2 linked regions of the Xenopus tropicalis genome follow. The protein of the gene in region 2 purifies or fractionates together with the protein of the main gene of each other region. This does not show direct contact. Links are inferred from orthologs where the notes say so. Each region holds a gene or a part of one and is shown on either strand. Other genes may lie near its edges.

What was found. Proteins that work in one complex are often made in the same cells at the same time.
Region 1: the proteins of c17orf49 (region 2) and smarca1 purify together in Homo sapiens (affinity purification with mass spectrometry; 4 studies listed by BioGRID and IntAct, with this or other methods). This does not show direct contact. The link is inferred for Xenopus tropicalis from reciprocal best matches to the Homo sapiens genes BACC1 and SMARCA1.

Annotation. Positions count from the first base shown.
Region 1 is NC_030684.2:50,390,330-50,400,880, forward strand, and holds part of smarca1 (probable global transcription activator SNF2L1), read right to left. Parts: intron 8,794-10,551; coding exon 8,671-8,793; intron 4,906-8,670; coding exon 4,773-4,905; intron 4,374-4,772; coding exon 4,255-4,373; intron 1,681-4,254; coding exon 1,468-1,680; intron 1-1,467.
Region 2 is NC_030679.2:142,451,896-142,463,133, forward strand, and holds c17orf49 (chromatin complexes subunit BAP18), read left to right. Parts: upstream 1-5,125; 5' UTR 5,126-5,301; coding exon 5,302-5,322; intron 5,323-6,889; exon of another isoform or gene 6,890-6,986; intron 6,987-7,101; coding exon 7,102-7,196; intron 7,197-9,045; coding exon 9,046-9,147; intron 9,148-9,641; coding exon 9,642-9,850; intron 9,851-10,095; coding exon 10,096-10,200; intron 10,201-10,720; coding exon 10,721-10,785; 3' UTR 10,786-11,105; downstream 11,106-11,238. Other genes in the region: rnasek (ribonuclease kappa), read left to right, coding at 157-239, 330-474. UniProt on the Homo sapiens protein: Component of chromatin complexes such as the MLL1/MLL and NURF complexes.

The DNA.
Region 1 (10,551 bases), on a different chromosome or scaffold from region 2:
TACTGTGAGATATTTTAGTGCATCGAGTAGTTAAATGGGTCAAAACCTGCACACTATATTTATGTTTTTCTTCTTATAATGTACACAGTACACTTAAATGTTAATGCAATGTGTATAAAATAATAAAAAAATATTACATCATATGGTTGCCATCAAATTTTCTAAGCAAATTAGCTATTTATTATTCTTACTATATGCTCATAAGGCCTTCAAACAAGTCACTAGATTTATTGATAAGTACATGGTATTCCTCCATCTGATTAACACTGGTTAATTCCTCCATTCCTCCTGATTAACATTGACATTTACAAAACTTGAATCTGCATGGAATCTATAGAGCAGTTTGGTAAAAGTTTCCAGCAATCTTATTGTTTAAACAGCAAAAAAATATGTTCTCCCTCTGTATATTATTTCCAATAGGCACACATTTCAGTGGCAAGGTTTAAATCTTTCAGCAGTTTTTCACTTGTAAGCGAGACATTTATTTATATTTGCTTACTAAACAGAGCTGAAAACTTTGAGACATTTTTGACAATAAAAATAAAGTGATAGCTGTGGCCCGCTCTCATTTTTCTTTTTGCCCTGTCATCGGTTAGTGCTTTGGGGTTTATGTGCTGGAAAGATGTATTTAAGTATAGAAAAGTCATAGAAATTTGATTGAGTTGCTCTATGGTTCTGATTTCAAAATTGTAAGGTTAACGTCAAAAATGATCATTATATGAATGCTCAGATACTGAGATAAAAAATAATGAGGTTCAGCAATTAGAGGAAAAGCTTTAAAGCAAAACTCTTCCCCTGAACAATGTAGGTCTCTACATTAATATATTGCATAAATAAGCTCATATGTAAAATACTGTTTCAGCTAAATAAACCATTTTCATAAAAATATACTTTTTTAGTACTGTAGTATGTGCTTTGGGTAGCCCTAAATAGAAAATTGTGATTTTAAGTACTATGGGCTGCCCGCTGGGAGCATACAATTTACTGGACACACATACATGCTAGGTCACATGAGCTCATTTAAAGTTCTGTCTTTTGCTCCCACGCTTCTTCCTGTTACAGGTGCATTATTTCCTGTCAGGTGACTTCTGAGGGAGAACACGGACCATCACAAAACGGTGGCTCAAGTAAAAATAGAAGAACGGAAATATTAACTGCTATTCATATTCATATTCCAGTGTGGTAATGCTCTTTAACAGGCCACTTAATATTATACAAATTATCTGTTGGTTAAGTATTCATTCTGGGGATATAGTTTTAGAGAGCTAATTCATATTATAAGTAGGGTAACAACAGTGTTTTATTTATAATCTGGAATTTTGCTAGTCCAAAACTACCAGATAAGTGGGGATCTATAAACAAGTACATAGTTATGCAGGATTTCTGGGGAAGACACTTCACTACAATTAGTATGATGAACAGAAACTGAAGCTTTACATCAAGCAATTAAAATAGAAGTATGCTTACCATGGCAGTCCTTGATTTGATAAACCAATCAAACCTAAACTGAGGAGCATTTCGCACGCACTGACGTAATTCCTCGTATACATTTTCCTTATCAAAGCCCATTTTATGAAGCATGCATATGAGAAACCTGTCCTCTTCTTCTGTATAGTTTTTGCCTTTGTTTGTGCCGTACTGGATTCTCAGCTGATGAAAAGGAGCTTTGTACCTTGCAATCTAAACACAACAAAGAACAATATTCTTATTAATCCCCACATTAATTCACCAAAAAGTGAAAACCTCCAGCCTACCTTCTAGAAATCACTATAAACACATATTTAATGTTCCGAGCCAAATGCCTTTCCCTAAAATACTAAGGAAAAAGTGTGTTTAGCACATGAACTCATGCTGAAAAGGGTGTGTACTTCCCCTCTAAAATAATTATCAGTTCTGCTTGAAGAATTTAAAGGGAATATATTTCTTTATATGGCCCCCCCCCCTTTTTGTCATAAGCTCATTCAATTGGGCTTATGTAGAAAAGGTACACAAATCTTAACTTCCAGATTTAAACAGAAATGTGTTTTTTAATTCCTCCGTTTTAGTGGAAACCATGATCGTCTACTTGTGTTTTACAGACCAGTTCCTTACCCCGCCTTTAGTCTTACAGACTGATCCAACCCCTCCATCACCTTATCCCATTGTGAAGCGATTGCTTCTGGCACTTGAAGTCCCACTACTTTTCAGAGAATTCATGCACCACCCGCTATGGATAGCAAAAGGAGTTCAAGTCCCAGAATTCATCACTTCACAATGGGACAAGGTGATAGGTGGACAGGAGTTGGATTACACACATGTACTGCAATAGATTTATATTTATTTCTTGAAGTTCAGATAGCGTTTATGCACTTTTTATACATAAACCCGAGAGAAGCAACTTCTGTCTGCAGATTTACTGTTAGAGCCCTTAGCGCCCCTGTACATTTTAAGAACGTGTACTCAATCCTTTCTTATTGTGTTATGACTACTGTATCAGTCTTTTGCATCTTTTCAAATATTTTGTTAAAAACCTAAATGGAATTTACTATATATATAAATTTATCTATAACCAGCTTATGTAAACAGCAGGATTAGCAACTGTTATAACTACTATAAATATAGTGGCAGTATTTGCTGGATTAAAGTGATACTGACATGAAAAAATTACTTCTGAGAATATGAATCTACATAAAAAGTTCCCTATAGGTCATGTTTTTTGCTAATAGGGCTGCTTTTGTAAGTAATTGTTACCTGAAGTTTTGCCAACCTGACTGTCCCTTCTCAGCCTGTCAGTTATAGCTTCTAATGATAATGGACTCCTGCAGCACTAATATGGCCGCCCCCTCATAGAGGTACATGGGGGATCAGATAGGGAATGTAAAAGCACTGGGCAAATACTTTTAAGGCAAAATTATAAATAGCATGCAAAGCCAGTGTTATGATAGATGTAAAAAAGGTTTTATTTCTGGTGTCAATATCTCTTTAAGACAATGTCAGATGTAAAATTCAAACTCTGGAATCGTAAAGGAAATGTTTTCAGTTACTTAACACTTTGCCGACCGTCAGGAAAGTTTAGCAAACTGACATTAATTAAAGCAGATGAATGTGTCAGTTGCTAATAATGTTTGACTGCTTTGGTCAGCAGAACATTGTTCTGTTATGTGGGTTGTAAGAGCTCAGCAACAGCACTGAGCTCCAACACCCCACAGAATCAATAAAGCCCAATAATGAATATATAATGAAAAACATTTATCCATGTTAGAAAATAGCTTCTTAAAGGAGAAGGAAAGTCAAAATCTATTAACCACACTATTAAATAGTACTACTATTGCTATGTAAAAACACTATATTTCTAGCTTGCCTAATGAAAGATTTACAGCGATACACCTGCTACATTCTACATACTTGTTTCAGTGAACGGCGCCTCCATCTTTAACAAGGGATGCCCACTCCTCTTTCCTCACTGTCTCTACTGCGCATGCGTCCCCAAAATCCTCCATACGCCCCCCTGCTCCCCCCTGCGTCCTTCTGTGACAACCCCCCAGCAGCTGCAGTATGTGTACACTAGCAGCACCACCACCGGCCCATCTACTACCACTTTGCCCGAAAAAAGGTGACAGTAATGCATTCGGCCCAAGATTAGGTAGCTGCTGCAGTTAACCACTTTAGGACAGGAATGTCAAGCTACATCCTTGAATTCTCAATAAACTTCAGCAAGTCGAAGGATAATTAAATTACAGTAAGATCGCTCCTAAATGAGAAGCATCAGAGAAAGTCAGCAGTATTAAACAGAGGCAAAATACCTAGCACCACCACCCCTCGCCCCCCCCCACCGGCTTCTACCTTTACAGTGCCTTCTACCTTCACCTGGAGCTGCGTCCACTGCCACCCGCTCCGCTCGCATCCCCCCTTGCCTCTTCCCCTACCAGCACCTGTGTCTCATGCTGCAGATGCTAGGGGGAGCCTCCTGTTTCTGCGCATGCGCCGCCTACAGTTCTGAGTCGCCGAGTCTGGGGAGGAGCGATGCATTATGGGAATCTTCTCTACCCAGCTTAGCGTTTTTCCTTACTGTTTGGCTTCTGATCCTCTAAACGGGAGAAATATGGGGAGACTTAAGGGCACTATTGAGAGAACTGAAGGTATGCCTGCATTTTGAGATTAACTCTTTACTAGCCTTTCCTTCTCCTTTAAACCTGAAATGATCATTAATGCTCTATAAAAAAATACTAAAAGCTATAAATTCATTCTTTGAGTAAATATAGTGGATTGCAATACTTTGGCATCCAAGGCTTTCTTGATACTGATCCTTCTTTGAATTCTTGCTTCACCGCGCTCTATCTGAGCCATAATCTTCTCAATGTCTTGAAGTTCATTACAGCGTTCCCAAAACACTCCTAAAAAGTAATCAGATAGACACGTTATATTAAATAAGTGAAAATGAAGTCCAAAATTCACAGGGGGGAGTGATATATTCGGTAATAAAGATGGCGGATGACTTTGACGTAGTTGGCCAGCTTGCAGTATATTGCAGTATATGGACAAATAATTCCTATTTTGCTTAAGGGGGAGGGCATTTCTTAGTAGTTCAATGCACAGAATGTCTTAATGTCCTATATATATATATATATATATATATATATTTATAGTGGGTGAGTGCAGAGGACCCAGACCTGATACACATGTCAAAATGATCAAACATTATGGTCAAAATTGGTTAAAGTTCCCAACCAAATTTAGCTAAAGATGGAAAAACAAGGCTACATAAATATAAGGGATCTCTTAAGTAAGCAAACCTGAATAATCCATAACTTCTTCTGGTGTCTTTCCTTCCACCTCTCTTGCAATGTTATCAATGTCATCACGGCCATACTTCTCATTAGCTTTAATAAACTGGTTAAAGTCTCGTTTGTTCCAATTTGTGAAGCCCTATCAACCAGAACAAATAAATAAGTGCCATTATGTTTCACCAAAATATTTCCACAGCAACTCTACACATGTGCAAAGCTTTAACCCTCCTTGTTCTTTAGAATTACGGGACCTGATTGGTTGCACCCCGTGCGTGCACGTAGCGTTAGTACACACAGGGCGCAACAGTATAAAAGTGAGGGCTGCAGCGGGGAGCTGGGGACAGACGAACTGAAGGACGATGAAGCAGGCGGAAGTAGAAGGTCGGAGCTGGGGGGAGCTGTAGGGAGCTACAGGATGCTGAGGGGGGGAGCTGTAGGATGCTGGTAAGGGAGGAGTTGGAGGATGCTGAGGGGGGGAACTGCAGGATGTTGGGGAGTGGAGCTGGAAGATGCTGAGGGGGGGAAGCTACAGGATGCTGAGGAGTGGAGCTGGAGGATGCTGAGGGGGGGAGCTGGAGGATGTTGGGAGGAGGAAGCTGGAGGATGCTGAGGGGGGAAACGAGGATACTGGGGAGGGGGAGCTGGAGGATGCTGGGAGGGGGAAGCTGGAGGATGCTGAGGGGGGAAATGAGGATGCTGGGGAGGGGGAGCTGGAGGATGCTGGGAAGGGGGAAACATGAGAACCAACTGTCAACTTTTGCTGCAGATTTCATCCCACTCCTACAGGTACTATAAAGTTCTATAGGCTGAATCACTAGCTCAAATTAAATTGTTATTTGCCTGACCTGACATCTATAATATCCCTATCACCTATCCTAACAGATGGATGGTAAGTTAACTCTTTCCCCCTGAAAAAGCTCATTGTGCTTTTATATGTTTGTTGTTTTTTTTTTACACTTACTATTTTTTTTACTATTTTATTTCTTTTGTCATTGTTTTGTTCATTTCTAGTTAGTTACAGTGGGGCCAATGTTGTGTTACAGTGCCAGTGTTATAGTGCCAGGGCCTGAATATCTGCAATCAGTACCCACTGCATCTCACTGCATATAATGTGCTGGTTTTGTAAATATAGACTGCGTCTCACTGCATATAATGTGCTGGTTTTGTAAATACAGACTGCGCCTCACTGCATATAATGTGCTGGTTTTGTAAATATAGACTGTGCCTCACTGCATATAATGTGCTGGTTTTGTAAATATAGACTGCGTCTCACTGCATATAATGTGCTGGTTTTGTAAATACAGACTGCGCCTCACTGCATATTATGTGCTGGTTTTGTAAATACAGACTGCGTCTCCCTGTATATAATGTGCGTGGGGTGTCAGTACCCGCTGCCTTTCTTGCTATAAAACTAAAGTAAACACATCTAAAGGGGGGGTTCACTTTTAAGATAACTTTTAGTATGTTATAAAATGGCCTATTCCTAGCAACTTTGCAATTGGTCTTCCTATTATATTTTTTTTATAGTTCTTGAATAATTTGCTTTTCTCTTCTGCCTCTTTCCAGCATTCAAATGGGTGCCAAAAATTATTGCTGTGTGAGGCTACAATTTTATTATTACTGTCCTTTTTTTTTATTACTTATTTTTCCATGCAGGCCCCTTAACAATTCATATTTCCATCTCTTGTTTAAACCACTACCTGGTTGCTAGGGTAAATAAAATCCTAGCAACCACATAGCTGCTGAAATACCAAATGGAGAGCTGCTTAACAAAAAGCTAAATAACTGAAAAACCATTAAAAATAAAAGAGGAGCACTTGCAAATTGTCTCAGAATATCAGTCTACATTATATTAAAAGTAAATTTAAAGATAAACTACCCCTTTAAGTAGTGCTGGGCGGTATACCGGTATATACCGAACACCGGTTTTTTTAAAAAAGATGATAAAAAATTTTAACTTACCGGCATACCGGTGTGGGCGCCTCCTGGCAATTTTTCTTACTATTTCCGGGTTGTGCGCGCTGACGTTACGTGCGCGCTGACGTCACGCGCACGCTGACGTCACGCGCGCAACCCGGAAATAGTAAGAAAAATTGCCAGGAGGCTCTGTGAGCTGTCGGGGGTGCCTGCGGCTGCCTGGCCCGTAAGGTTTATTTATGTGAAGGGGATGGGGGGGTGTTTGGGGTTGGATGGGGGGTTGGATGGGGGGGTGTTTGGGGTTGGATGGGGGGGTGTTTGGGGTTGGGGGGGGGGGTGTTTGGGGTGGTCACGTAATCATGCATGGGGAAAAAAAAATACCGTCAAATACCGTGATACCGATATAATAAAAAAAATACCGTGATATAAATTTTTGGTCATACCGCCCAGCACTACCTTTAAGCTAACTGATCACAAACACAAATATTTGTGGGGAGTGGGCCATAGTATGAGGACACTGGGGGAGGACCAGCAATGTTTTAGGGGGCCCTGGGCTGGCACCAATGCAAAATGTAACCCCTGGCTACCAATGTTTAGGGGGGTCCTGGCTACCAATGTTTTAGGGGGCCCTGGCTAACAATGTCTGTGTGTCCTTTGTACTGATGGCAGGGGTCACTGGGGGAGGGGCCATTGGGGGGCAGGGCGTGGGAGGAGGTGGGGCAGAAAATTTTGTTGTGAGGGGACCCATGATTTCTGATGGCAGCCCTGCCCCTGATATTTATTCTTTTTGTCTGCTTAATTCGTATATACACTAGCAGAGAAAAGGTGATTCACTGCCTTCTTGTCAGGGCTTAGCGGCTTACAGGTTGGAGTTGGGACCAAGTTTGTGGTTGTTTCCAGGCAAAAGATCAGGGCAGGCAGCTGTCAATTGTTGTGTCAATTCTATAGCCCTTCCAGATTGGGGGTAGAGTATTGGTTGGGTGTACTAGCCATATCCAATTCCCCTACATTTAACCACTTTTGCAGTGTAGATTCTCTACTCCAAGAACAGCTTTCCCAACATGGTAAAACATCTTGACAACTGATGAACAATACAGTTCAAATTCATGGGCAAAAACTTTAATGCAAAATGCGCCAAATATAAAACATGCAGTTATAGTGGTTTTGTCAAGGGAAAACACATTTTTTTAAACGTATCAGTAAATTGAGTTGCTCCAGCAGAATCCTGCAAACAGATTTTTTTTTTTATATTTAATTTTAAAATTTGACATTGGCTGGACATGTTTTTAGTTTACGGGGTGCCCTCGGCCATGTGACTTTTGTTCTGATAAACTTTAGTCGCTCTTTACTGCTGAGCTGCAAGTTGGAGAACTATCACCCCCTCCCCAGCAGCTGATAAGCAGAACAATGGAAGGTAACAGGATAACAGCTACCTGATACCTGCATTCCTGCATTGCTAAAAATGCTCCCATGCCCCCCAGTGTTAGATATGAGAAAGCTCAGAATTAGGCAAAATGCACTGAGATCACTGTCTAAACACCAATATTACAGAGAAAAAAATACATTTGTTGGTTCAATAATAACATTTTAAATGGTAGAATGTATTATTTGCTATGTAAACAGTGTAATTTAAAAATAAAAAGTAAACCTTAAAAGTCATGACAGAATCCCTTGAAGAAACTGACTGCTATGCACCAAAAGTATGCAAATACAATTTAATCTTCTTTTATATATAATCAGTATTTTAGTCTTAAAGGAACAGTAAACTAAAAATATGAAAGTATTAAATCTAATATACTTTTGCTCTGCATTGGTGTGTTTACTTCAAAAACACTACTATAGTTTATACAAATAAACTGCAATATAGCCACGGGGGCAGCCATTCAAGCTTAAATAGGGATAACTGGTACAGTTTAAATAGTAGATAAGCTCTGTAGTATACAATGGGTTTAGTTCTCGCACAGGAGCATAATTGTTTTGATTGTACCTGTGTAAGAAGTTTTTCCTTCTCTTCAGACTCTTCAGAACAGAGAGGCTCTGCTTCATCAATCTTTCTCTGCTCTTCTTTTTGTATCTGAGATGCATTTGGGAGGTCTGAGCTTCTAGGGACCTTACATAAAAAATGAAATAATTTGTGAAGCAACATTACTTTATAGTGCAGTCTGAGCAAGACAGTCGTAATGAGTTCTCACCATAGCAATTGTTCCAAAAACTATTGTTTGGCTGCTTTACTAACCCTACGTTGGCCATAACAATTTGTACAACTGCTACATACATTTTATAAACACATTTTATATCAGTACTTGCCTCTCGCATTACTGTTGAAACAATAAAGAAGAATGAAGTTCGAGCAAACATCAAAAACACTATTTTTTTGCCAATGAGAACTTCTGGGGCATTACAAAGAATTTGTGCACTGCATAGTATGACATAAAAATACACTAGATTTTACATTAAGATATAAAACTACAGATAAAATGAGTCACACAATTCTGAAGCTGCCCTAATGTTTTTTCTTACTTTGTATTTGAAGGTAATAGAGTGTCCTCTAACACTCAAACAGAGATATTAATATATACTCTTCTTCGTGTTGGAATTTCATTATGGCTGACATACAGGGTCTAGCAGATAGCTAGTAAACAAGTCTATATGTGGATAGCATTTTGAGTTACACCACACAGTAAAGCTTTCCTACAGAGATTTCAGGATGACCCTGCATCCTACATTACCCATTAGTATACCTATATAAAAGGCATTGCTGAAATAATAAACCCTGCAAGACACTCCTATAGTCTGAAAAGAGGCAGAATAGGAAGGCTTCAAAATCAAAACCCAAATAAAATAAATAGAGACCAAATGACTAGACCCATATATACCAAAAGTTGATGTAAAGGTGAACTTTAATACTAAACTTTGAGTCTTTATATCTTTGTCTCCATAAAAACTTGTCAGGGGGCATGTCCTTTTGAGTTTCTTCTGGTAGTATGGCCCCATATTATTACAGCCACCTTAATTGTGTTGATCTGGTATTACTGAGATTTAAAGGGGAACAGTCACCCAGACAAAAAACATCCTTGCAAAATTAAATATGGCACACCATTTTTTTAGATTAAAATATTTATACCTGTTATAAAGGTATTTTAAATTCTCATCTGTCATTCATATGTTGCCTGCTCCACCTCTATGCCTCAGGCTAACAGGGGGGGCAGGCAATTACTTTCACTTTACATTTTGCATATCCTAGATGTCACTGTACTCCTTCCCCCTCTTTACTCCCTGCCCATAATTGTGTAGCTTGGGCACCAGGTCCCCCATTCTGTCGCAGTAACAAGATTTTGGGATGATTACAATGCAAAGCTTGTCATTATAACAGTTTGCACAAAATGCGCCTGAACTTTAAAGGAGAATTATAACCCTGGGCGCTAAAAGCCCCCTTAACTATCACTGCCTAGACCCCCCCTCACCTCTCCCTTATTGCATAGTTTTTAAGTTTAAGCGATGTCCCTATCGCTAACCCCTAGCTAAAAATGCAGAGTAGCACAGAAGCGTACCTGGCCAACATCTTCATACCAACCAATAAGAACCTGCTTGCACATGCGCAGTTAGAGGTAGCAGGAAATCGGCTTCAACTGTGCATGCCCAAGCAGGGTCCGTGTCAGCGGTGAGACTCGAAGAGTCTTCAGTTGGTAAAAAGATGTTGGCCATGTATGCTTCTAATACAGGTGAGGGGAGTAGCGCTAGAAAGGAAAGACAGGTTATCGTTATAGGGAATTCAATTATTGGACAGGTTTAGAGGGCAATCTGTCGAAAGGACGCTACATGCCAAAATGTATGTTGCTTTCCTGGTGCTAGGGTGCAGCATGTGGTG
Region 2 (11,238 bases):
TTTCCACCTGCAGCTGCCTGTATAAAGCCAACCACCGATTGGTTGCTATGGGTTACTGCTCACAGGCAATTGGCGGAGCAGGGACAGAGCCTCAGGGAAGCAGTATGGTCGCTCCAAGCTCTAATTACATATATATTTATGTTTATTTTGCCGCAGGTTCTGCTGGGGGTGTTCTTTAACGTCCATTCGGCGGTTCTGATTGAGGACGTGCCCTTCACTGAAGCGGATCTGTTTGAGGAGTAAGTGTTGGACCAAACCATATTTTGTTCCTTCCTTTGTCCCCGTGCCCCCCCCCCCCCCCCGTAACGCGTGTCTCGTTCTCTCCGCAGCCCCAATCCCCCGGCCAAGATGTACCGCCTGTACGAGCAGGTCTCCTATAACTGCTTCATCGCCGCCGCCATCTACGTTGTCTTGGGGGGCTTCTCCTTCTGCCAAGTGCGGCTCAATAAACGGAAAGAATACATGGTGCGCTGACCTCCCCCCCCGTCCAACCAGAAGGTGGTCTGATCCACACTGGAACCAACCCTGCGATGACTTCCTTACGTTCCAATCAAGCCACCGACGGGCCAACCCACCCAGAGAGCTATTTAATAAATATCACGTTATTTATGAAATTGCCATATTGCTGTTGTTGATAGTTAGAACCCTAAGGGCTGGGTACCCCCTGTGTAGTGTTTTGGCCACGTCCTTTGGCCACACCGGGGTAACCAACCTTTACAATATTTAGTTGGAGTTTAGCCATGGGATGCACTGTACCTTTAATGGCAACTTGCTTCTGTTAGGAGCATGAATAGGCAACATTGCATAACTACAACCCCCAGCCTCCACTATAAGTGTCGTTCTTCAGCAGCTGGAGGGCCTGCCATGCTGAAACCCCCATCATACAATGCCCCCCTAGCAAGAGCAACTGGAATGCCCATCCTCAAGCAGGGTAAATCGTGTAACTGCCTGCTCCAGGGGCAGTCTGCTAGTTGCCCCAGATGGGTGGGAGAAATGCTGTTCTACTCGTCGTTCCCTCGCTAAACTTGTTTTCATGTGAAATTATCCACTGGGACCAACCCCCCCCCCCCCCCCCCCCCCCCCCCCCCCCCCCCTCCGGTCCTATTGTGTTCTTGTATTTATGTGACTGTGCAATAAAGTGACAGTGTTCTGTGACCAACCCATGTCCCCTGTGCTTACAGACCTATACACGGGGGGTAGGTGCCATTGCTAAGCGCGCTATAGTGCCAGCCAAACGCCATGTTATCTTATATATGGACCAATATGGCCATATTATGTTATAGAATAGTCAATTCTAAGCAACTTTTCAATTGGTCTTCATTATTTATTTGTTATAGTTTTTTAATTATTTGTCTTTGCAGTTTTTAAACAGGGGTCACTGACCCCGGCAACCAAAAAACTATTGCTCTGTGAGGCTCCAGCTTTACTGTTATTGATACTTTTTGCAACTTTCTATTCAGTCCCCTCTCCTATTCATATACCAGTCTTTCATCCAAACCACTCCCTGGTTGATAAGGTAACTTGGACCCTAGCAACCAAATAGCTGGTTGTTAAGGTAACTTGGACCCTAGCAACCAAATAGCTGCTGACATGCCAAACTGGAGAGCTAAATGAAAATAATGAAATAACTAAAAATACTATCAAAAATGAAGATCAGTTGCAAATGGTCTCAGAATATTACTCTCTACATCATACTAAAGGCAGAGGGGCTTAAAGTCCCAGAATGCACCACCTCACAGTGGGAAAAGGTGAGGGAGGGAGGGGCTGCATGACCACTAGGGGCCTAATGGGAACTGGTTCTGTAAGCAGAGACACACTGCCGTGTTTATATGTATTTGTGAAAGGATGCCTACCCCCATATGTAATAAAGGGCACTAAGTTTGCCCAGTAGCAGTAACCCATAGCAACCAATAAGATTTTTTTTTTTTTTTAAAATCCTACCTGCTGATTGGTTGCTATGGGTTACTGCTCCTGGGCAAACTTAGTGCCTTTTATTATATAACCCCCATAGTGTTCATGCAACTGGATGAGCTCATGTGAAAAGAGGGGTATATTTTCCCTTTAGAACAACTCAAAAGGGAATCCAAACGCAACAATGAACTGACAGAAACTGCTACAAGAAGCAAATTAATATAAATTGCTCACAAAAGCAGCCTCACTAAGCTTATTAGGTATAGTTTTGGGAGTCAGCAATGCTAGGGTTAACTGAGTACAGGAGAGCTGCTGGGCTCAAATCCTGGTATTAGCAGCCTAAAACTGCAACTATCCGAACTATATAAATGAATGTAAGTTGCAGTTTTAAGATCACACTGAATATGCTCACATATGAATGGCAATGTTTCCAGACTTCAGTCCCTATATTACCCCACATGGCACACAGCGCCCAATTACAAATATATCTTTTATACTGACTCCATGAAAATCAAAGCATTTATGTTACTCGCTTCTGCCTACCCCCCCGGCTGCAATGAAGCAGAGGGCAGTCACCACATTGTGCCCAATATTAGATTTGCCACATACACTGTATAGCTGAAAATAATCCACATACTTCTTAATGCCGTGCCCACAGCTGGAACGCCCGAAACTGACTCCGGAAGCAACATCAGCTCCGTAACTACTGTAGGGCAAAGCCAAGCGTCCGCTGGAGTGGCGTAAAGGCGCCGCCATTGGACTGAGGAGAGATAAATGGCATTTCACCAGCTGGCAGGCTGATGGGAAAGTCACGGGGACACTATCTGCCCGAATGCATAATGGAAACGTTGGCTGGTAGAGGTGTATGATTGGCTGGGGCTGGGGCTGTTTCCATGGATTAAGCCCCTGGTTCCAGTGATACCTGAAGGCTACAGGGTACAATAGGGTAACCATATGTCTGGTTTTGACCCAGACAGCCCAGTTTTCAGAAGGACTGTCCAGGTCAAAACCTCCTTCCCAGTTTCCATACTGTCATAGCACCGCCCATTAACATCACAGCCCTGCTTCTCCAGCGCCCTATGGTGTCACAGCCCCGCCTCTACCCCGCCCCCAAGATATCAGGGCCCACCCCCTGCTCAGCGGCAAATGCCAGCAGAAGAGGCAACCCTAGGGTAGGGTGACCAGATGACTTGAAAATTCCGGGACACGTCTAATAAATACATGTTGCAGGACAGCACTGATTGTATTTAAATTAAACTGCAATCAGTTCAGCCCTGCCAGCTGGATTTTCTAGAAGTGTCCCTGAATTTTCAAGTCATCTGGTCACCCTACCCTAGGGTACAATGCCATTCGTGACAATTCTGCACTTTATACAATAGTCTGGAGAAGAGCTCTGAGCCTTAACCCAACTGAAGCCCTTTAAAGGAGAAGGAAAGGCAACAAAAGAGTTAATCCTACCATCCATTGTCTCAAAGGTGCCCTTAAGTCTCCCCATATAGTGATGGTTTACAGGTTTTGAAGCCAAACCGGACAAAAAATCGCTGAGCTGTGTGAATAAAGTTCCCATGATGCCTCTCTCCTTCGCAGACTTGACGACTTGTGAACAATGTGGATAAGCAGTGGGCGCGCACAAGCAGGCACGCTCTCCATTCAGCACCCTCTGCTCCCCAGTGGGAGCGGACCGTAGCAACGAGCGGCGGGGGCGCTGGTGGGGGGAGAGTTCCGAGCGGACCGTAGCAACGAGCGGTGGGGGCGCTGGTGGGGGGGAGAGGCAAGGGGGGAGAGTTCCGAGCGGACCGTAGCAACGAGCGGCGGGGGCGCTGGTGGGGGGAGAGTTCCGAGCGGACCGTAGCAAGCGAGCGGCGGGGGCGCTGGTGGGGGGAGAGGCAAGGGGGGAGAGTTCCGAGCGGACCGTAGCAAGCGAGCGGCGGGGGCGCTGGTGGGGGGAGAGGCAAGGGGGAGAGTTTCCGAGCGGACCGTAGCAAGCGAGCGGCGGGGGCGCTGGTGGGGGAGAGGCAAGGGGGGAGAGTTCCGAGCGGACCGTAGCAAGCGAGCGGCGGGGGCGCTGGTGGGGGGAGAGGCAAGGGGGGAGAGTTCCGAGTGGACCGTAGCAAGCGAGCGGCGGGGGCGCTGGTGGGGGGAGAGGCAAGGGGGAGAGTTCCGAGCGGACCGTAGCAAGCGAGCGGTGGGGGCGCTGGTGGGGGGAGAGGCAAGGGGGAGAGTTCCGAGCGGACCGTAGCAAGCGAGCGGCGGGGGCGCTGGTGGGGGGAGAGGCAAGGGGGGAGAGTTCCGAGCGGACCGTAGCAAGCGAGCGGTGGGGGCGATGGTGGGGGGAGAGGCAAGGGGGGAACGGACTGGAGTGAAGGAGCGAATGGGGGGGAACTGACAAAAGGAAGCGAGTGAACCAGAGGGGTGATGTGTGACAAGAGGGGGGCGGCGTTGTGCAGACGAGGACGCGAGCGTGTATGTTATGGATACACATAAGTAGATACACATAAGGATGCAGCTGCTGGGGGGGGGGGGGAGACACAGAAGGATGCGGGGGGCGCAGGGAGGATGTTGGGGGCGCATGCGCAGTAGAGACAGTGAGGGAAAGGGCGGCGCCGTTCACTGACACAAGTATGTAGAATGTAGCAGGTGTATCTTTCACTAGGCAAGCCAGGAATATAGTGTTTTTACTCAGCAATAGTAGTACTGTTTAATAGTGTGCTTCATAGATTTTGACTTTCCTTCTCCTTTCAGATGAACTGTAACCCCCCCCCCCTGCTGTGAGCCAGGCCTGATCCCCAACATCAGTGCCCACCTCTCACCTGTGCCAATCCCAGCAGCCATGTCCCACAGTCTATTAGAAACCCTCCCAGATGAATCCCATTGGTTATCATTGCTTATCATAGTTTTATTACTGTATCATTGCTAATAAAAGGCTCTGGGTACAATCTGAGAGGATAATTATTGTATGACTGCCAAAAAAAGGCTCTGGGTACACTCAGCCAATCAGAATACCTCACAGAAAAGACGAAACGACGCACTGACCAATAAGATTTATCCATTAGTAGTTTATCCAATAGGGATATAAAGACGCGTTAGCTCTTCCAATGGAATGAAAAAGGCGGGAACGAATCACGATTGACTACGTCTTTAGCCAATAGGGAAGTCCGTACCCGTCGTCCAATTGTAAGGACGGTACCAGACGCTTTTCGTGTCCGTGTTGCGGCGCCAGCATCGCGAACCAATACCAGCGAAGGAACTTTATACACACAACCAATAGGAAGCCGCGGATAGGCGAGCGCACAGAGGGAATAAGGAGCAGTGGCTTCGCCGCGACAATAACAGCAGCGGTTGTGACTGCCGGTCAGCTCGGTAACAGTGAGCCTTTCTCTCCCCGCAGCCATGACGTCAGCCTCCACCAAGGTACCCGGGAATGGGGACTTGACTCCTCATTGGCGGGGCGGGAGCATGTGACCTGTTTCTGGCCTAGGGTATGCTGGGAATTGTAGTTGAAACATAAATAAAGCCATATATTGTCTAAGTACTAGATAATAGCCTGCATACATAAGGACAGAGGAAAACTGCTCATTTATACTAATATAGGAGCCTTCAGTTTATAGCTGGTGGTGGATACTGGGAGTTGAAGTTCAATAGCAGTAGCACAGGGTGGGTAGTGTACAGCATTACTATGGCCATCTTATTAACCCCTTATTCTGTCTAACCAGTAGGGCTTCAGTATCAGAGGTGCCCATAGCAACCCCCCCCCATTAAAGGACACGTCAACCCCAAAAATATATATTTTTTTGCCTAATAAATAATAAATAATTTGTCGGGTTGACGTGTCCTCGGTGTTACTTGCTGCTATATAATAATAATAATAATAATCCCAGTCCTGCGCTTAAGGGCAAATGCCCATACCTGGTGCACTCTTACCTTCCAATTTGTGCCTGTATGTTACCCAACCACTTAGACTGTAAGCTCTACGGGGCAGGGACCTCCTTCCTACTGTGTCTCATACCACATGGCACTTATATATATATATACATATATGTATTTATTGTATTTATTTATTATATCACTTGCCCTCCCTGTGTGTAATTTTGTATTCTGTAAGACTGTACAGCGCTGTGTACCCTTGTGGCGCTTTATAAATAAAGTTATACATACATACAATAATAGAGTCCTATGTAGCGTTATATTACCACCACTCTCTTGTATTATCTGTACCACTAGGTGGCGCTCTGAGCTGCACTCGGCACAGATAGCACCCATTTTTTCTTTTTTTTTTCTTTTTTAAAAGCCCAAGGTCGTGCTTTCTTCCTAAGTGCAAAAAAGTGCAAAATCCACACAAAGTGCACGAAGGTGCATAGTTGGCCAGCCCCAAAAGGGACGATAGCCTCTGTACTCGTATCCACAGGCCAAAGGCGCGGCGAAGAACGAGTCTTCGAGCCCTCCTTCGCCGAAGCTAGGGAGGGCCCCTTTACATCCCCGACCCCCGGACCAAAAGGCTCACGGGGGCAAAGGTCTTCGGACTCTCCTTCGCCGCAAGGCTAGGGAGAGTCCCTTTCCTCCAGATTCCGCCGAGGCTTCCTCCGAGGTACAAAAACAACGTCTCGGGGAGAGACTGGAACCAGATGGCCACACAGTCCTCCCCTTGGTCTGTGGGGCATACCCGAATGGGCAACTGCACCCTCAAACCTATTAGAAGGGTCACACATAACAAAGTGCAGTGACAACACAAGGATTGCATAAATAGAAAATAAAAAAGTGCCCCAGCCTGACGGCCGGAATTATAAACATTTTCTTTGCTCTAGCCAAAAGGCCGGGGCAAAAGAAGCGAGTGTAGCATAAAAGTTAAAGTGCCATTGTGCAAAGTGCCGTACTTAGTGCAGCGTGAGCCACCACCTCACTGTGCTTTTTCGGGCACCCTGGGGTTGCTACTCCCAGGGCACGGCGCACCTCGGGCTTTCATGCTACCGGCCCTTTGGCCAGAGGATCAAGGTAGACTGTCTTATGTGGAGGGCCAGCCAAAACCCTCCTAAGAACAGATACTACACTTGATCTTAGCCAAAAGGCCGAGAAGCGATAGCACAGATAGCACCCATTTGTCAGTCACTAGAATGCTAAGCATGTGCCTTATTAGGGACAAACAAAGTCCCGTTTTGGCTGATAATGTTGCTTGTGTTTTATTGGTCCCTGTAGGTCGGGGAGATCTTTTCTGCTGCCGGAGCTGCCTTCACCAAACTGGGAGAGCTCACCATGCAACTCCATCCTGTGACTGATTCCTCTCCTGCTGGGTAATGGCCTCCTCTTGTAATAACTGTCTACATATGGGGAACCCCTCATATAAACTACTTGTTACAGGCCCCTCCCACTTACCCAGCATTCTGTGTGTGTGTGTGTCACATGGTATAAGTGTATCTGTGAGGTGAAACCCACCTAGATATGGGGAACCCCTCATATAAACTACTTGTTACAGGCCCCTCCCACTTACCCAGCATTCTGTGTGTGTGTGTGTCACATGGTATAAGTGTATCTGTGAGGTGAAACCCACCTAGATATGGGGAACCCCTCATATAAACTACTTGTTACAGGCCCCTCCCACTTACCCATCATTCTGTGTGTATGTGTCACATGGTATAAGTGTATCTGTGAGGTGAAACCCACCTAGATATGGGGAACCCCTCATATAAACTACTTGTTACAGGCCCCTCCCACTTACCCATCATTCTGTGTGTATGTGTCACATGGTATAAGTGTATCTGTGAGGTGAAACCCACCTAGATATGGGGAACCCCTCATATAAACTACTTGTTACAGGCCCCTCCCACTTACCCATCATTCTGTGTGTATGTGTCACATGGTATAAGTGTATCTGTGAGGTGAAACCCACCTAGATATGGGGAACCCCTCATATAAACTACTTGTTACAGGCCCCTCCCACTTACCCATCATTCTGTGTGTATGTGTCACATGGTATAAGTGTATCTGTGAGGTGAAACCCACCTAGATATGGGGAACCCCTCATATAAACTGCTTGTTACAGGCCCCTCCCACTTACCCATCATTCTGTGTGTATGTGTCACATGGTATAAGTGTATCTGTGAGGTGAAACCCACCTAGATATGGGGAACCCCTCATATAAACTACTTGTTACAGGCCCCTCCCGCTTACCCATCATTCTGTGTGTGTGTGTCACATGGTATAAGTGTATCTGTGAGGTAAAACCCACCTAGATATGGGGAACCCCTTATATAAACTACTTGTTACAGGCCCCTCCCACTTACCCATCATTCTGTGTGTATATGTCACATGGTATAAGTGTATCTGTGAGGTGAAACCCCCCTAGATATGGGGAACCCCTCATATAAACTACTTGTTACAGGCCCCTCCCACTTACCCATCATTCTGTGTGTATGTGTCACATGGTATAAGTGTATCTGTGAGGTGAAACCCACCTAGATATGGGGAACCCCTCATATAAACTACTTGTTACAGGCCCCTCCCATTTACCCATCATTCTGTGTGTATGTGTCACATGGTATAAGTGTATCTGTGAGGTGAAACCCCCCTAGATATGGGGAACCCCTCATATAAACTACTTGTTACAGGCCCCTCCCACTTACCCAGCATTCTGTGTGTATGTGTCACATGGTATAAGTGTATCTGTGAGGTAAAACCCACCTAGATATGGGGAACCCCTCATATAAACTGCTTGTTACAGGCCCCTCCCACTTACCCATCATTCTGTGTGTCTATGTCACATGGTATAAGTGTATCTGTGAGGTAAAACCCACCTAGATATGGGGAACCCCTCATATAAACTACTTGTTACAGGCCCCTCCCACTTACCCATCATTCTGTGTGTGTGTGTCACATGGTATAAGTGTATCTGTGAGGTGAAACCCACCTAGATATGGGGAACCCCTCATATAAACTACTTGTTACAGGCCCCTCCCACTTACCCATCATTCTGTGTGTATGTGTCACATGGTATAAGTGTATCTGTGAGGTAAAACCCACCTAGATATGGGGAACCCCTCACCTTACGGGCCCCTCCCATTTACCCATCATTCCAGTATGTATGCCCCCCCTTTTCTCCCATGCCCCCTGTGTGACTCCTGGTTTCCTGTTGTGTCTCCCCAGGGCCCGCTGGACAGACACAGAGATTCAGATGTTGCATGCGGCTGTCAAACGCTTCGGGGAAGACTTAAATCAGATCAGCTCAGTTATCAAGGAGAGGACAGTGTAAGGAAAGCCGGCGGACTTTCCAGAAAAATGGGAAGGATTAAAGGGGATATAAACCCAACAATACGACGTTACCTTATGAAAGAAAATGACACTTCCCAATATATATATATTCACTGCACATTTTTGGGTTTACATCCCCTTTAAGTGCAGCCTCAGGGGCTTTGCAGCTCTGTGTCTGGAAAGGCCGGCTCTGGGGAGGGAGCTGCTATGTTGCTGTTTCTCTATATTAGGGATTGTAGGGGGTGCCTATTGGCACGTAACTCTAGTGCTTATACCGACCAGGTATTGGGCAGTTCCAGACATGTGACAGCTGCTAGACACGCCAAGTGCGACGGTGCCTTCACACTGGCCCCTTTCCCAGCAGCCAATGTAGGTTTAGGACATCAGTCAGGGAGCTTAGGGTCCCTTGCCCCTTGTGTTTCTGCCCCTCCTCCCTTTTTTCCCCCTTATACTCTCTGCCTCTCCTTCATGCCCCTTTTGTCCTCCGCCAGGGCCCAGATTAAGTTCGCCGTGAAGAGGAAGATTTACGATGATAACGGCGTCCCTCTGACCAGCGACTCCCCGAGGAAGTCGATAAAGAAAGCGTCGCCCGTGTCCTCCTCTGTGCCCGCCAACATGTCCGTGTCGGCGCCGCAGGTCGTGGGTGGCACCTCTCTCCCTGACGGCTCACAAGGAGCCATGAAGAAGCGCAAGTCATCAGGTGGGTGAATTGGCAGCGAGTGTGTACTGTGAGTACGGTGGCCCGGAGGGCACAGAGAAGGGCCACTGCCTAATGAGGCTGCTGTATAAATCTAGGGGTACCGCAGCTCTATGACAATAAAGAAATATTCCCTTATGGCTGTGTTCAGGGGCTTATGGGAAGATTTCTTTGTTGTCTTTCTTAGTTTGTCCTTTAGATTTAACTCCCCACCCCCCCGTGTGCCCTCCCCTCTCTCGTTCCAGCAGATGTGACTCTCAGCGCGCTTAATGACTCCGATGCAAACAGTGACCTGGTGGATATAGAGGGCTTGGGCGACAGAAGTACGGTGAAAAAACTCAACTTTGATCAGGGTGTGCTACGTGCAAATGTTTCCCCTTCCTTTGCCTGCCCTCTCTCTCCTATTCTGAGCTAAACTCCCTTCCCCCCTGACATGTACCCCCCAGCCCACCCACCACTTTCTCTCCTTCTCTCCTACATGCATTACTGTGAGTGCAGGCATATAGAATGGCCAACTCAGGCTAAGGTGCTGAACGGGGGCCTTAACTGGCCAGGTATTTCATCTGGGGAGCTACTAGAGGAGACTATATTGATGGAGTTTTTATACTCCCCCTATTATTGCATTGGGTTCCTGCAGGTACCCCTGTTTCCTCCCACCCCATACATACAGGCAGGTTAACTGGCTTCTGATTGGCTCTTATGTGTGAAAGTGATAGGGCCCTTAGATTGTAAGCTACCCTTCCATCCGATGCTTGCATTCTATAAACCAGCGACTGGTTGCATGATGGGGGGGGTTATACGGTGCATGACGGGGGCCCATTTTTCTTCTCCCTTTCTCTCACCCATAATAATATTCTTCCCTCTCCCTTTCAGATAGCCTAAACCTGGATCCCAGTTTCATCATGAACTCAGGGGACCTGCCGCTCTTATCTCGCTGATTATCCCGGCCCGTGTTGCCCCCCCCCCCACCGTTTGTGTAAATAGGCCCTGTATAAACCCCGCCCCCTCCCACAGTGCTTGTGTTCCTTTGTTAGTATCTAGAGCCCGGTGCTGGTTCCGGAGCCAAAGCCAACGCTGGGCTGCAACAGATGTTTTTTATGAAGAGAAGGAACATTCCGGCCTGTTCCAGGTCAGTTGCACTCCCAGGGGTTGCAGGGAGTAGCCGCGGGAGAGTTTCTGGGAGTGTATCCCTTCTTAGTGATGTAAAATACTGACTGAGGCTTTTTTTATATTGATAAGAATAAAAGGTGTAAATACATTGCCAGTGTCTGTCAAATGCATCCTTTCCATAGGGGGTCCCCCTTGTCCAGGCCCGGACTGGCAATCTGTGGGTTCAGGCAAATGCCAGAGGGGCTGCTGTAAGGTGCCATAGACACTCACTATTTATTGGG